Linked DNA regions of Schizosaccharomyces pombe. The gene in region 4 interacts genetically with the main gene of each other region. Each region holds a gene or a part of one and is shown on either strand. Other genes may lie near its edges. The genes, in order: cmk1, apt1, csk1 and fta6.

Region 1 (4,882 bases), 3.0 Mb from region 4:
GCATCTGATGAACCAAATGTTAGGATATTTGATACTGTATCTAATCGGAACTGGATTTGTTCAATTCCTTCTCACTCTGATTCCATAGCAGCCGAACCTAACTCAGTACCTACTTCTGTTCAATATAAAGATCGCTTTTTGGTGGATGGAAAGTCTGATGGATCTGTTAGCGTTTTTTCTGCTTAATTTGTATTTTTTATCCACACCTTTATTTATTATACTCTCGTTATTGTGTTGAATCTGGATAACGTTAATTTTAAAATTTTATGTCTTTATGCTTTGGTTAATGGGTATTAACTTCTGTTTGGTTTTTTTATTTATTTATGGACAAATAAAAAGGAACGAGACATTGCGAATAAAAAACTGTGATGTTAATTTTGTTCAAAATATTTAAAAAAATTCTCAAAGCAAATTGTTTGATCACCACCTCCCTTCTGCTTCTTATACTGTAGGTTTAAAATTTAGTAAATAAAAATCTTTTCTAGTTTACATTTTTTTGGTTTTACTAGTATGAAGTACGCAACCTCATTCTGATCTGAGATGTTGTATTTCATTTTGTTGATCCAGTTTACAAAACACGCTCAGCGTGTTTAATGTCAACTACACATAATAAGTATTGAAGAATCTTTTTGAAATTAGCAATTTGAACTCACACAGTGAGTAAAATATGGAAATAACCAAGCTCTTTTTATATTTCAGATTAACTGAATGGTCATTTTATTTTTGAAGCATAAATAGTCATAAATGCTAAAATTTCAAAATTTTACATCTGCAATATATATAGAGAATTAAACAACTGCGTTCATCTGTCGTCAACAGTCTAACAATGTCAGAAAACTGGTAGCGTTACTTTTTAAAACATCGACATAACTTTTAGCATTTTGTATGAGGCTATTTTAAAAACTAAGTAGAGAACATGATAGGTCCAAGCATTCCAAATCACAAAGAATATATTTAACATGTAAGAGTGTTAATACCAAAAAAGTATGTACTGAGGGCAAAAGATAATAAAGAAGTCATAAGTCATAACAAGATAAAATAAGAAAGTTATAAGAAAAGATGTGTATAATTAATGCTTATTCTCAAGCTTTTTCCAAGTGTTGAAAGCACGTACAGCGTTATAGGCAGTACGGAACGTTTTTCTTGCATTGAAATTTTCCCGGACGTTTGGAAGCAAATTGGAGGTTGCGGGACGCTTTTCAGACAGGAAGGGGTGCTTCAACGCATCAGCAGCAGTTAAACGTTTCGAAGGGTCGTTTTCCAAACATTTTTTAATAAAGTCCTTGGCCGTTTCTGAAATGCCAGACCAGCAAGGATCGTTAAAAGTGTACTCGTTAGCTAAAATTGCTTCTATAACTTCAACCTGAGAAGGTCGAGCAAATGGAGTATAACCACTGAGTAAAAAATAAGTTATAACGCCAATAGCCCACATATCTCTATAAACAGTATTAGTCAAGATACATAACTTCTGAATTAAAATGGTAGTTGATCAACTTACACAGGTTTTCCATATCCGGTTCGACGAAAGACTTCGGGTGCCATGTACTCTGGTGTCCCACATGCCGTCATGAGCATATAGTATTGAGAATCCTCATAAAAGTGGGACAATCCAAAATCGGCAATTAACAAATCTGAATTCGGATCTTTAGAGCGATAAAGTAAATTTTCTGGCTTCAAATCTCGATGTACAATTCCATTGTCATGCAAGTACTTAACTGCTGATGTGGTAGTACGCATTAAAGCAGCAGCATCGGCCTCATAAAATGAACCTTTGGCACATATTCTATCAAAAAGTTCACCACCGGTGGCCAGTTCAGTGATTAAGTACACTGTTTCAAGGGTTAGTGAACAAAACACATCACAATAACATTTGATTCATCAAATCGAAATCGGAGACATACGATTATTCACAGTTTCAAAAAAATCAACCAAGTGTAAGATATTAGGATGTTCATAAGAAACACGTTTTAGAATTGCAATTTCATTCTTCACCTATACCACCAAAAACATGTTAGTAAACGTAAATAAGGATGCTGTAAGTACTTAAGTCTTTACTTACAAAGTCTTGTTTCTTCTCCATCATCTTTTTATTCATAATCTTAGCCGCATACATTCTATGAAAATTTGGTCAGCAAACAACTCGAATTTAAAATATACTTACTTGTTAGTTTCGATATGAACGGCTTCACGAACCGTCGCATATGTTCCGCCTCCCAAAACCCGACCGACACGATATTTGCAAGGTAATAGTTGTTTCTGATCCACCGTAGCCTTTGGAGCACCGTCTTTCAAGGCCGAGGTGTTTGGTTTGTATGTTTGCTGCATAGCTGTAAAGAATCAATAGATGAATTATTCCAATGCCAACGAAGGTAAACGTAAAAGGTTTCTCTTAATGTAAATTATTGTATTGTTAGATGGTGCCATAAACAATTCTGTACTACAGAATTCTTTTATGAAACCAAAAATGTAAAGGTATGTAAATGAAAAAAATCCCGTAGAAACAATAAAGAAAATATTATTTGCGCGAAGCAGGCTGTTGAGTTAAACGGTGGTTCAATAACAGAATGATCTAAGCAGCGCAATGACTGTCCACCAACTTATGACAATAAGTGCTTAGCCTCAACTTGTAAATATGGAAAAATTTGGAAAAGGTATATTGAAATCCTCGGATTTAACAGGATATTGATATTGAATGTACCCGAATAGTATTGATGAAGATAACAAGAAAACCAGCGTCTGATAAATACCGTCCAACTGATTTGCAATTGCAAAACCAGTAGTCTGCAGTATAGTCATAAATCCTGGTAATTCCCAATCGGTTCAGTAATTTCCGTACCTATTTTCCTCTTCTAAGAGAAAACAAGATCAGAAAGATCAAAATTACAATTAGCGTATTGAAACCACCAAACACTGTAACAATGCAACACAATTATTTAAAGAATTGAATTTAATTATACAATCCTTAAAAAATCGCAGTTTTATGAGCAATTGGCAAAACGCGAACTGCTTGAAATTTCGCTGATATTACCAGCTCATGAGAGTTAAGTAGATATAACAAGCCATCATGGCGAATATTGGTCACTAACGTATACCGTAATAATGCGCTATCCCATGCATTTTAGTTTGTTTAAATACAGTAAGCGTATTAACAACATAGAACAGAATACGAAAAGGTAACCACGTAACAAAGATTCATACTGTAACAAAAATTGTGAAAAACAGACTGAGTGTAAATTGAGCTAATAAAATCGATTTTGAATGATTACTTTTATAATCTTTTCCATCTTGGAAGAGGTATTTAGTTATTTGAGAAAGAACCGAACTACCTTCTGAAAGGAATACCATACATTTTACAATAGCAGTGAGTATGGTATGTTAATTTCTCATATGCTTCTTGTATGATAGTTAGTCGAAATGTATTGGAGATAATGTTGAAGAAGTAAATAGTAAAAAATGCGCATGCATGCTTGACTCCATTTGTTCTACAGTACTTTACCCTTGCTATGATATAAATTCAAAGTATCGGTTTAAACAGACGAAACCAATAAGGGTTTAAACTCACATGGGTTTTTGAAGGAAGATGAGTCTACAATGTAAACTATTCAACTCTTAAATAACACTTTTTGATAAATCGCGATATAGCCAAAAACTAGAAGAACCCTAAGTAACTTCTTCTTATTAAGGTATAAAACAAGTTTTCTACATTGCGAATAACGAATAGAGATGAATGCATTAATTCTAACATTGAAAATAATATAGTCGATCCTTTGGATTCCAAATAAATTATGAAAACCATTTAAATCATTAATTAAAAATAAATTATGAGATGGATGCAATAAAAACCTGAAATTAATCAATAACCTTGAACCATCTTTGTAGGTGCCTTCCCTAAAAAGAAATCTATTAATGGAAAATTGCTCAACAGCACTAACGGAATTAAACCTGCAAGCATACCAAATTCTGAGCTAGACTCAATGTAACCCAATTTCTTCATCTCCGACAGTGCAGCCACCTCAAGTTTTTCGCTCACAGCTTGTTTATCCCTACAGCCTAAAAACATGGTTATACTCTTTTCTGTCTCGAAAGAAGGGGTCAAGGTTGCAGGTTGAATAAGTTCATGAAGACAACTCAAAAGTGAGTTTAAATTTCCAAATTTTACTACATTAATCCTCGACCGAACACTATCTGTTACATCAGATAATCTCAAATCGAGTTTCGTATGTGTTTGAGAAGGAATAAAGGTCTGAGAATGCTGGTCTGTTGTAAATCCGTTTGGCTTAGTTATTTTTCGAATGTTTTTTCGAAGTTTCGGCCATACCTTAAAAGCTGAGTCATTATGCTTGCTTAACAGCACTTCACTTGTGTAAACGACATTAGGCAATGACGTCGCATAATCATCTTTATAGAATTCATCATATGTGTAAATATAGGCTATACTCGTCTCTTCATACAAAAACTTAAGTAAAAGCTCCAATGCAATTAAATCATTTTCAGTACCCAAATATATGAGAATTACAACCTTGCTTCTTTCATATGTAGAGCCTTTTTCTTTCACACTAATCTCAACCTGATCAAAGGACTTCTTGTCCTTTTCTAATTGTTCAAAATCATTCTTCGGTGAACCATACTCAGTACTACGTATGATAGGCCTAATTTTTTTCACTGATAAATTGTGAGGATTACGTGTGAAAAATACTCCAACTGGGATCCGGGCCATCTTTATTAAAGGAATCAACTCATCCAAAGATTTAAAAGAATCACCCAAAGCTAAGCGGATGGAACTCAAAGACAGAGGAGAAGAAGAGCTCTCATTCTCAATTGTTTTATAATCCTTCAAATAGGGCATGATCAAAATGTTTGAAGAAGACTTCTTCAACGTCTC
Region 2 (4,069 bases), 700 kb from region 4:
ACTTTGATCGAACTATTGCTCAGCTAGAAAATCCGAACAGTGGTCAAAAAACGTTTGGAAAATTCCTTCAATTTGACAACGATAATTCTTTACCTTCAAAGGTTTTTAAGACAGTCTTGTTAAATAACAGTATGTGTCAAAAACCCTCCGATACTCTCGACAAAGATACAGCATATATTGCTCCACTTGGCAACTGCTCATGGGTGCAGCAAGCAAAAAATACCAATAAGGCAGGATTGTTAATTCTCATCACGGATGGTGAATTTATTAATCCGTTAGAAAATATTCATTCTCAAAACAGTCTATTCAATTGGGTTAAACCATACATCCCTCCGACTATTCTCTTAAAAAATGAAAACAATTTTGTTTCTAAATGGGCCAACGTCTCTGTGCGTCAATCAGACTTTGACGCCCCTTCGTACTTCCAAGGAACTCCAGTTTCAAACCTATATTTGTGTCTGAAATGCATAAACAGCTAGGAATAACGCTGTTTTGTGATTTTTTATTTACGCATGTGTATAGACTTGCGGTCATATATGCTTTTTACTATTTAAAAAATATTTGTGCTGCGTGATTTCAAAGCCTATAGATGTTTATCCATTCAATACTTAATAAAAGTATATTTGGATAATTCAGCTTTCTCTTGTAATTATACTTTTAATCGAGGGCTATATTATAACGTGGATTCGTCAATAGGCTTATAATAAGCTGAATGTATCTACCTATTTATATTAAAGAAAAGCGTGGTATTGACCATTCTAAAAATTATACCCTTTATGACCCTTATAAGCTTTTCTCCTTATGATGTTGCATCCTTTTTTCTTTTTTTTCATTTTAAGATATCGATTTCCACCCGATTTATATATATTTGCTAACAAAAATCCTACTTTTTAGAATACTAGTTGAAAAATGTATAACTTATTCAATTTACAACTTAGACTAAAAAAATCCTAGCTTGACGAATAAACCATAGAAAAAAACCCAGAACCCTAAACATTTATAAAAAAGGAATAAAGCAAATATAACGTTAAAAATTAGAAATGCTTATACATACTTCGAGTTCATAGTTTAAGCAAATTCACTACCATCAGGTGCTTCATCCTGTCCAGTAAGAAGTGTATAAGTAGGAGCCATAAGACGCTTACGTCCTTGAAGAAATGTAAGTTCTAAAAGGAAGAGATGTCCAACTAATTCACCACCCAAACGAGTAACGAGTTCATCAGCAGCCAAGGCGGTGCCACCAGTAGCAAGAATGTCGTCAACTATTAAGACTCTTTGACCGGGTTTAATAGTACCCTTTTGGATTGCAAAAGAATCAGTAGAATATTCCTTATTGTAGCTTACGACGACCAAATCACCGGGAAGCTTGTTGGGCTTACGGACAGGGACAAATGCACAATTTGCACGTAAAGCCAACGTAGGTCCAAAAAGAAATCCACGCGCCTCCAAACCAACAATCACATCAATGTTATTGAATTCAGTTTCAACGGCTTCAAGCAAAAGATCGATAAGGATGCCAAAGGCTCTGGGATCTTGAAAAATGGGCATTATCTAATAACATTAGCATCTTATTGTTTATAATTTAACAGAGTATTTAAGCAATTGCAAGGCGTAAAGATAATATAACCTCTCGAATTGTATTTTGGATTCAAACTTCACGCTAATTGAGCAAAATAATATCACCGTTCCTATCCAACCTCGCGCATTTCCTCCTTCTATAAAATCTTACATCTTCAAACAAGATTCCCTTTTTGGGAAAATCTGGATATTGAACAAGTTTATTCTTAAGGTAATTGATTCTATCGTCGGACATTTTAGTAAATTGCTATGTAAAAACTTCTACAAAAAAAAATAAATACTCAATTTCCGTTACCGTCTATGCAGCGAAAATTTTGGACTGCTGTTTTCAAGTAACATGTTACCATCCGTTTAATGTAAAAAACGTCAGTCATAATTCACCTATTAATACTAAGTAGTGTACCGGGTTAACTTTGGCAGCTAAGACGAGCTCTAAAAGAAACGTTTATGTTTGAAATTCGACGCTCTTTTCCATTCCTTTCTTCGTGAAAACTGTCAGCCACAACTCCATGTTTTGAGGTATTCCTTCTTTAGTTTGATATACACTTCAAGCAATTTCAGTCATATCCGTTGTTCATCATTAAACAAACTTCGGTCAAGATTATTAGCCGTTTTTTGCTATTACATTCAGTAGAAAGCTTATTTTTTAATTTGTTTAAGCCAGTTATACTGATACACTTGGTATTAATTCAATTCAGAAAAAAATTTCAACGGCAAACATCGATACACATTTTTCTAAGAACCAAGCTTCTTTTTCAGGAATTTTGAATCAATCATTTGACCATTGATTTGCAATCTAAATTTTAGCAGTGGGTTTGTTCGAATACTGCAGCTATACCTATAAATTACCCATTTACTAGCTTCATGGATTAGAAAAATAAGTTTTGTTGTTTCATTTGTGCTTTTTGTTTTTCTATTCTGTTCTGCTCATTTCTTGTTATTTGAAAGCAAATCTTTCTAAAAAGCTTTATTGACACTTTTATGGTGGTATACCATTTATATAATCTAGTAAGTAAAGCAAAAACCAAAATCTTACGCCTCTACATTACTCGTTTAGTCTGCTCCTAAGTAAAAATAGGCACTCCAAAAATCGCTCCTTCTCTCCGTTCCCTTTTTTAATTTACGTTGACATAATTAAGTCAATAATGTTTGCAAGACATCCGAATTTATTATGGTTGAACAAACAACTGTCTATTTTACATTATCTTTGCCTAGTTTTTTTAGCTGTCTACTATGCCTATCCTCTACTATTTGGCATAATGCCAAGAAAGCTGCAACTCGAAGATGAAAATTCTTTTGTTATTATGGGGGTTGCTGATCCTCAGATTGAAGGGAATCATAAAATCGAAGCAAATGGATTTTTTAAAGGCACTTTAGATCTTTGGGGGAATGATTTGTTTTTACGACACCTTGTACATATGAATCAGTTTTGGGGTCAACCAGATGCGATGATTCTGTTGGGTGACTTGGTCAGTTTTCAGCACTTGGATAACGAAGAATTCAACAAAAGAGCTAAAAGACTGAAAAAAATCACTGGGGCAAAAAACTTTTGGCAAGTAGGAAACTCCAGTTTACCAGCACGTACTTTTGAAAACGGTAACATTCCCGTTTGGACGATTGCGGGTAATCATGACATTGGCTATGGCTGCGAAAGTTCAGACGCACAAATTAGCAAATGGGAACAAGCTATGGGCCCGGTAAATTGGGTTTCGCACTTCAATGTTTCTAAATTTCCTGTCCGTGTGATCGGCATAAATAGCCTTTCGCTTGATGATGTTCAGTTTTACGATGCGAACCCTAGCGATATTATTAACAGTAAAAGTTTTTCATCATTAGGTATACTTGCTCTTTCAAAAGAAGCTAGGGATGCTTGGCAATTTCTTTTCGACATTGCTTTAGAGCCGTCTATTCCAACCATACTGTTCACCCATGTGCCACTCTACAAACCAGCTAATGTGTGTGTTGACGAACCGAGAATCGTTCGTCAATTGGATTTTCGGGTCAAGTCTCAAAATCATTTATCGTATAATACTACTATGAAAATTTTTGAATTGATTCCTAGCATCAAATTGGTCCTTTCTGGCCATGATCATATGGGTTGTGACTACGAACACCCGAACGGTGCCATCGAACATACATTACCCAGCGCAATGGGGTACTTTGGAGGAAATATTGGTTTTGTCAAACTGATCGCGACAAATGATGTTCTTACAGAGTCCTCCAAGAACACACCCTCGGTTGTTACATTTCTGATTCAAAAACTCATTGGCCAACGATGGAAGAAGGCTTCATTGAAACAGTCAAAATTCAGTTCCGACATATATGCCACTTATACCTTGAGTCACGGAGGACCATCTTATATTTGGTGGGCTCTTCACATATCGGTATGCGTACTTACCATCTTACGTTTATTGGTAATATCATTGCAACATATCTAACATTGTTGTGCACTAATTGTTCAAATGAACAGTTTTATATTTACACCAGCCTC
Region 3 (4,478 bases), 4.1 Mb from region 4:
GAGGATGTTCAGATTGAAACCATCCTGATTAAAAATAGAAAATTTGGTAAACAGAAAATATGAAAATAGGATAACCCTGTGTTTATTGAAGCTTCTTTGCAGCCCTTCTTTGCTCAACATCCATTTTAACCAAGGCATTGGCAGCATTCACCAGCTGAACAACGTTAATAATTTGTTTGGCAAGGCAAATAGGACCACATAAAACGGCTAGAAGGGTCGGATAGGAAAGAGGGAGCTCTCCAGTCGAATAAATGAAGGAAGGAACTGGTAAGTAGCCAAGTTTGGGAGGAGTACGTGGGGTAAAAGATAGTAAATAAAGAGCAACGAAAAACATCTCATTAGCAGCGCAAAAGATGAATAAAACTTTATTGTTTCCATAGTAAAGTCTCAGCATCCAGTTATGCTTCTTTGTTACCGTTTTGTGTGAGGAAGCACCTTGATGAAGAGTGCTGTACATATGCATATAATGGCTGGCAAGGTCCAAGCTAACTAACAGTTGAAAAATTATAGCATATTTTGGATAAGCAGCACATAAAAAGCAAAGCAAGCACGAGGTGGCGCATCGGTCTGTGACCATATCCAAAATTGCACCGAAATTGGTGGCTTGATGCAATTTGCGCGCCGCCCAACCATCAAAAGCGTCAAGTAAACTTGAGTATAAATACACAATAGTACAATAATTTGGGTGCCATGACATAAAGTACAACGAAATAAGTACCAAAAAAACCCTAGTAAAACCTAAACAAAGAGTCAGAATACTGAACAATTATAAGAATGAAAGTCCAGCGCTAATTTCAGCATATTGAGAAAAGAGGCCATAAAAGATAATGATTCACAAAGTTTTAGTAATTTTGAAAAGTGACGAAAATGATGCTTTTATAATAGAGATAACTTGACTTGACGCAATAGATTATTTTCAAAAGGGTAAGTAAATCTGTTAAGTCTAAGAACACCTTAAAATTATTAAGCACAACAAATAATTTTACGCACATCTAAAGTCTCATTCATTATTTTAATTAACTTCCGAAAAAGCATACAAAGTATCCAATACTCCGCTCATAGCTTGCCCAGAGCAAAAAGGAAAATCATTTGACAGCTTTAAAAATTTAACTCGCATATTTCTTAAAATATGGTTCAGTTGGTGCTTTGAGCAACATGAATTCTATGTAGGCTCAATTGCTTACATCGAATGGCAAAACAAATGTAGAAAGCATACAGCCTTTTTTTTCTTTAAAAAGCTGATAGGAAAAAAATATCAAAAAAAAGTATCATTTCGAAAAGGCTTTGACCAACCTTCCGGGTAAGACATAATTAAAGAAGGAAATGTAGACCTTTTTGCTCAACATAGCTTTGTTGCTGTAACAAGACTTCCGAATAATACTCACCAATCAAATTTGGTACAAAAAAGTACACGTTTGGGTCTTTCTGCTCGTTCTTTCCCATTGTAACTAATGTTGCAAAAGGAAGATACAGCGTTAGTGGTCTGCCATAAAGCTTACCGCAATATCGCTTTCCGTTGGAATACGCAAAAAAAATATTACCGCCCGTACGAAATCACCGTAATTAATATTATAAAAGGCCAACGTAGGATTGTTTTCGTTTCGCTAAGCTTATTACCTTCTTTGGAACAAAACACTTGCGCGACAATCATAACCTAGCTTATTTAAGGTTACCTTGACTCAGTTCAATTATTAATGGTTTTGCACGAGTAATTTCTTTCATGTTTGTAGAATTATGAATTAAAATATTTAATAAAATTATTTATCTATTTTTTTAAGCTGTTACTGAGAAACAGTTCTTGATTTAACTATTTTTTTTTTTTTTTTTTTTTGACACTGTCAGTAATAATCTCGAAACATCATTGCGTAAAACATTTCATAGACAATCATTATTAATATTTCTTTAATAAATTAATATTTTTTCTAATTTCCTATAACAGCAGCGATTTTTGGAAACAGATAAAGTAGTAAAAGATTAAACCTATACATCTCACCATTTTTGACAATTCGAGTAAGGTAATGTAGACGCATTTGACACATATATGATCTCTAAAACAATTAAAACACTTATTATCACAAAGATATTTTTTTCATTCAAGCAAACAAAGCGAAAAAAAAATAAAAATAAAAAAAGAATTCTTAGTATTCTTCCTTACTACAAAAATTCATACTCTGACTTTATAAGTGTACTACAAATGTATAAAGTACATATAAGAATGGTATCTATTTATATTTTTTTAAAAGCATTATCCAATATCTTTTTAGCATCATCATGCGAGATCACAGTTAGGCTTTCATCTGGTGGCCATCCTTCACCGCCAGTACATATCTATATGTCTGCTCTCATTAAAGTTTGTAAAAAGAGTAAGCCTCACCTCCAAACACATTGCATAAAAAGAAAAACATATTGCGTAAAACACCTTGCGATAAGTAATTTTCAAAGTTTTATATTACAACGTTTTAGCTGTTTTTTATTTTGTTAGATAGGCTTAAAATTTCAAGTGAAATCAATCAGGAACGATTGAATTTATAAATTTAATGAAATCAGTCGGTCATTTCGTTCCGTGGCTCACTGATATAAGGCACCTGACGGATGGCACTATTAGTGAAGTGTTCGTGGGTGAAAGAAAGAATAGCAAAAAACTATATGTTATTAAAGTTCAAGGTTTAGTATTTAAAAGGCCACCTCACGATGCCATGAGAGGCAAGCTTATTTTAGAGTCAATAGGCCATCCACACATTGAAAGGATAGTGGACTCTTTCATAGACAATGAAGCAGGATCCGTTTACCTTATAACGAGTTTTAAATCGTTTGTTCTATCAGATGTGATGGATGAAATTTCAATTGATACAAAATGCAAGATCGTATTGCAAATAAGTAGCGCCCTTGAATACCTAGAAAAGCATGGGATTCTGCATCGTGATATTCATCCAAATAATATACTATTGGATTCAATGAATGGCCCCGCTTATCTATCTGATTTCAGTATTGCTTGGTCCAAACAGCATCCAGGAGAAGAAGTGCAGGAACTCATTCCCCAAGTATGTTAAAGAGAGTTTTATATTTTGCCGAACCTGCAAGATTTCTAACGTTTTTTTTAGATTGGAACTGGTCATTATAGAGCAATTGAAACCTTGTTCGGCTGTCATTCTTATGGTCATGAAGTCGATCGTTGGACATTTGGCATTCTGATCGCTGAACTATTTTCCAATCAAGCTTTGTTTGACGATGGATCTTCTGAAGGATGGCCTAGTGAATTAAGGTTAACAAGCAGTATTATTCAAACTTTGGGTACTCCAAATCCAAGCATGTGGCCTGTAAGTTTCAAATCTTTAACATTATATCTGAGCCTTTGAACAAAAACAAAACATTTTAGACTTTTTTTTTAAATAATAGGGTTTCATGCAGATTTTGCTAACTGTTTTTAAGGAACTTTCGACTTTCCCAGATTGGAATAAATTTATATTTCATGAATATCCACCCAAACCTTGGTCAGAAATTTTACCATCTGTTGATACTTCAATTCAGTATATAGTTTCGCATCTTGTCACATACTCAAATCGGGCTTCACCATCCTTCGTGATTGAGTCATTCCCTAAAGTATCTGCTAGGCTTTCACAATATGCATAAAATTTACTCTCAGGATTGGTGTAGGAAATACATAATTTATTTTAAAGGACAGTAGAAATAAACAGGTAGGCAATACTACCGTAGGAATTAATTATCTTAGCTTCAGTTAATATTCTTTTGTCTTTTTATTAAAAACTCCTTTTGATAATACTGAGTTTTATAGTAATATCCAACGTTGAATATCTAGTGCAATAAATCGCAACGATAATCTGTAATTCTACGCACAGCATTTCTTCAATCTCACATTAGGTTGATCACTTGTATTAAACAACCGAATAGGCCTACATCTGTTTTGTTTCCCACAACTTAGATACTTATTTTGGTAGCTTGATGCGCATGCTAACCGTGCACGACTACGCAATTTGGTACCGAACTCTTCCTCCCTTCTCACATCTACCTGAGCATTTAATGCCGCTAAAAATTGTATTGGAAGATAATAAAACATTCTTCAAATACTTTAAATTATGCATCTAGCCTAGTGACGGCTTAAAGATGGATTTGGAAGTCGTGGAGTTTCCCTTGCACCACAAATTAGCGCTTCCGTTTCGTATAGGTCTTCTGGTTATAGTCGGTATGAACTTAAGATTTTCAATTTACTAATACTAACAATCTCTATTCTTTAGGTACCTGGTTATGGTCAGTTTGTTATCATTTAATTTACATCCTGAATCGGTACCAACCAATTTCTCCCAATCCACGAGGTTCTCTGAATTCAAAATGGTATCACTTACTTCAAATTCCTTTATCTAACAGGCACACGGATCTTGAGGAGAATACTGAATTCAAGGCGAATTTAGTTAGCCCAGTTGATTTTCATGCTGGATATTGCTTTGCTGCTATACTGTCTA
Region 4 (3,409 bases):
AGCATAAGTAAATAGCCCATCAAAAGAAAAAGGAATCAAAAAGGCAAATAAAAGAAGGAATCGTACCGTCTTTTAACGATGGTCGGATTAAACAGAAAACGTAATCATTTAGCAAAGTTTGAAATTTATGAATCAAACTTCGTATAACTCAATTTACTAGCACATAAAAAGAAAGAAACAGAACATTAAACATAAATATACTCTAAGTAGTTCTAGGACCCAATTTGTCTAGTGCACGTACTCCATACTCCTCCCATTCTGCCTTGGACACCCACATGTGATCGTTTTGAGCCATGATATCTGCCAATACGGCGCCGCCGATAAACACGGCATGACGGCGACGAGGAGCGTCTTCAATCTTAACCTTAAAGTTAGGCAAACGTGCGGGATCTCCATGAAGAACACGCTCAAACCATAACTGTTTTATTTCCTTTTCAAGACGTGAAGGAAGACCGGCATACATACTGCTACCACCTGAGAGAACAATGGCGCGATACAAATACTTGCGAATGTCCACATCAGCTGCTTGGATAGTGTCAAAAATAAATTCACTCAAACCTGGTTGTTCACTACCAACCAGATGAGGTTGAAATAGACATTCTGGACATTCATAACGCTCAGAACCAACTTTAATAACTCTTCCATCAGGAAGGGTGTAATTACGCATTAAAACGGTAGTTTCTTCGCTAAGCTTATGGTCCAATTCCAAATCATAACTAACGTAACAAAGTTTTTCTTTCATCTCGCGAACAGTTTCAAAGTCTGCTGTACGATTGAAAGCATAACCCTTACGAAGAAGTAAGCTAATCAAATAGCGGGTAGCATCCCTACCGGCAACGTCAAGGCGACCAACTAAATGATTTAAAACAACACTTTCATAGACAGGCACAATATGGGTTACACCGTCACCAGAATCAACAACTACACCACTGCTTAATCCCTGTGCGTATAAAGAGAGAACGGCCTGAATGGCGACATAAACACCACCAAAACCATACCGTTCAAACATTGTCTCACACATTTTTTCGCGGTTAGCAACAGGATTCATAGGGGGCTCGGTCAACAAAATTTTCCTACCCCTCGGATCAATTTTTAGTTTTTCAAAGAAAGTGTAATCCCAAAGTTGATTCATCTCTTCAAAATCACGGATAATGCCATTTTCCATGGGATATTTTACTTGAAGTAAAGATCTCACCGCCTCAGCTTCATCACCGACCATAACATCTTTAATTTGAACATTTCCTGTTTTCTCTTCAGCACGTAAAATGGGCCTTCCTACGATGGATGGGAATTGAAAGCGCGGAAAATTGTCTTTAGCATATCCGACCTTGCTAACGTTAGTCACAGTGTAAACAAAGATTTAATTAAACTGATTACCTTCACAAAACCAGTTCCATTATCTAGAACAATGGGAGCAGACTCCATTTTATAAACGTCTCGTGTAGTTGGTGAAAGGTTAGTTCTTAAGTCCACCCCTATGTAATGTACCGGCGGTAACTATCTGCCATATACCGTATGACACAGCAGCACTGCAACTGTAGCAGAGCATTCGGTGATATATCGTAAATATGTAATATCGTAGGAAAGCGAAGTGCAGTAATCTTGAGAATTATAAAACAGAAATGAAGTATCTAAATTAATTTAACAATTGGCTGCAAAAAGAATAGCTCAAAGGTTTTTACGGTTAATGATCTTATCTTCTATTGTACTTAGCATTAGTATCGTTACCCCTTATACTCAAAGCCATAACTGTGCATTTATAATTGTTCGGCAGTAATGTATATTATCGCTTATTAGTTAAAAGATTCTTCGTTTCACATAGTATTACTATTATTTAAAAGAAAAACACGGACTCTATTTGTTTGTTTAATGTGCAGGTAACACTTCGATCGTTTATTATGAGATTGGTATGACTAGGAGCGCTGTGCAAAAATGAAGAATCGCGGAACCGATTTAATAAAGAATTTATTTCTCTAGTAACTAGATGTGTGCATTAAATTGAATACAAGACTTAAACAAAAGAATTATAATTATCGACATATACCATTATTGAATATTTGTCATCTGTTTACTGAAATAAGTGGAGCAATGCAATTTGAGAATAACACATATCGGTTTAAAGATCCTTATTATATTGCTATTACTAAATTAAGGAGTGTAACGTTTCGCAGCTAAAACATTTCGATACAATATTTGATAAAAATAAATGGAGGATAAATACATTTTATTGTCAGCAGGTTGGTTATAATTTTTATTTAATAGCTCAATACTTACGTGTATATAGTGGAAACGTTTAAATCACGTCTGGAAGAACTGCTAATGCAATCGGCCAAAGTACAAAAGCAAACGATGCTTAGAAAGGAATTAGCTTCTTCGATGAATGATATGGCTTCTACGGTACAAGAAGCTTTAAATAAAAAAAAAAGTTCGTAAGGTAAGCACTTGGAGACTCAAAACATTATAGTTCATTATAGATTACGAAGGCAGTTCATTCACTATTGTTTTAATAAGTGTTTGTGAAGTACGACTTGAAGTTTTCATGATAATAAGTTATTATAATCATATAATTTCATTGATGTTTATAGTAAACAATTGTTCATGAAGCGAAAAAAAAAAAACCATTAGAAAACTTCCCTCTGAGCAAATTATGATTACAAGCCTATCGTAAAAAAACCGTCTATGTTATTTGGGACTGTTATTGAGCCAGTATTAGGAATTATCAAAAAAGATACATTCAGGCGTAAGTTACGTCCACTTTTTAGTTTCAGATTCATCAGAAATCGAATAATCGTCACTGGGAGTATGTTTGATATCAAACGTTCTATCAACTCTAATCGAAACCTCGGTGGTTTCTCCTTGCGCAGATGAAGTTTTCATGCTTTGCAATTTCAGAGCTGTACTAGACGCCCATAAACTCGAAAGAGGAAGAGAAATGATTAGCAGACATTGAGTCATAGAGCTAAAGCCATCATACGTATGGATAAAACTATCTATTATAGTAAAGGTAGCTGGAACAATAAGACATTGGCAGCTAATAACTAAAATACACTGCATCGGACCAAATGGAAATTGCCCAATTTTTTTCCGTATTAATATGGCACGAAAGAGTTTGTATGAAAAAACACCACTGTGAAAAATAATGCTAAAAGCAAAAAGTATTTTAGCAATAAAGTAGGGCCAAGAGTATCCAACAATGGTCTTGCTGCTAAGTGGAGTTAACCATAACAGATACTGAATCTGTTGACACATGTTAGTAATCCAAAATGCGAGAACCAAAACAGTTAAGCAGGCACTAATAACAGTCATTATCCTTTGTGTCTTTCTATCATGTGCACAAATTATACGAACTTGAATCATCATGCTCATCTCAGCAGTAAAAATGATGACCGGTGCAAGCAACAAAATTAAA

The links.
Region 1: mutations in fta6 (region 4) and cmk1 together harm fitness more than expected from each alone (negative genetic interaction), as found in Schizosaccharomyces pombe (one large-scale study listed by BioGRID).
Region 2: mutations in fta6 (region 4) and apt1 together harm fitness more than expected from each alone (negative genetic interaction), as found in Schizosaccharomyces pombe (one large-scale study listed by BioGRID).
Region 3: mutations in fta6 (region 4) and csk1 together harm fitness more than expected from each alone (negative genetic interaction), as found in Schizosaccharomyces pombe (one large-scale study listed by BioGRID).

The regions. Positions count from the first base shown.
Region 1 is NC_003424.3:1,736,763-1,741,644, forward strand, and holds cmk1 (calcium/calmodulin-dependent protein kinase Cmk1), read right to left. Parts: upstream 2,539-4,882; 5' UTR 2,326-2,538; coding exon 2,162-2,325; exon of another isoform or gene 2,115-2,161; coding exon 2,060-2,114; exon of another isoform or gene 1,993-2,059; coding exon 1,902-1,992; exon of another isoform or gene 1,830-1,901; coding exon 1,499-1,829; intron 1,437-1,498; coding exon 1,070-1,436; 3' UTR 691-1,069; downstream 1-690. Other genes in the region: mdv1 (CCR4-Not complex subunit Caf4/Mdv1), read left to right, coding at 1-186; potassium ion/proton antiporter Kha1, read right to left, coding at 3,854-4,882. UniProt on the Schizosaccharomyces pombe protein: Important in cell cycle regulation.
Region 2 is NC_003424.3:4,081,430-4,085,498, reverse strand, and holds apt1 (adenine phosphoribosyltransferase), read right to left. Parts: upstream 1,844-4,069; 5' UTR 1,814-1,843; coding exon 1,730-1,813; intron 1,690-1,729; exon of another isoform or gene 1,552-1,689; coding exon 1,069-1,551; 3' UTR 903-1,068; downstream 1-902. Other genes in the region: alpha mannosidase Mnl1, read left to right, coding at 1-479; ted1 (phosphoprotein phosphatase), read left to right, coding at 2,724-4,016.
Region 3 is NC_003424.3:647,453-651,930, reverse strand, and holds csk1 (cyclin-dependent kinase-activating kinase Csk1), read left to right. Parts: upstream 1-2,365; 5' UTR 2,366-2,537; coding exon 2,538-3,041; exon of another isoform or gene 3,042-3,101; coding exon 3,102-3,317; exon of another isoform or gene 3,318-3,429; coding exon 3,430-3,630; downstream 3,631-4,478. Other genes in the region: phosphatidylinositol synthase (CDP-diacylglycerol--inositol 3-phosphatidyltransferase) Pis1, read right to left, coding at 83-738, 1,386-1,443; erd101 (EXS domain-containing protein), read left to right, coding at 4,123-4,201, 4,254-4,478. UniProt on the Schizosaccharomyces pombe protein: Acts as a CAK-activating kinase that specifically activates crk1 of the crk1-mcs2 CAK complex.
Region 4 is NC_003424.3:4,781,071-4,784,479, reverse strand, and holds fta6 (protein Fta6), read left to right. Parts: upstream 1-2,173; 5' UTR 2,174-2,206; coding exon 2,207-2,237; intron 2,238-2,284; coding exon 2,285-2,433; downstream 2,434-3,409. Other genes in the region: ARP2/3 actin-organizing complex actin-related protein subunit Arp2, read right to left, coding at 203-1,327, 1,378-1,425; pheromone p-factor receptor Mam2, read right to left, coding at 2,746-3,409. UniProt on the Schizosaccharomyces pombe protein: Component of the kinetochore, a multiprotein complex that assembles on centromeric DNA and attaches chromosomes to spindle microtubules, mediating chromosome segregation and sister chromatid segregation during meiosis and mitosis.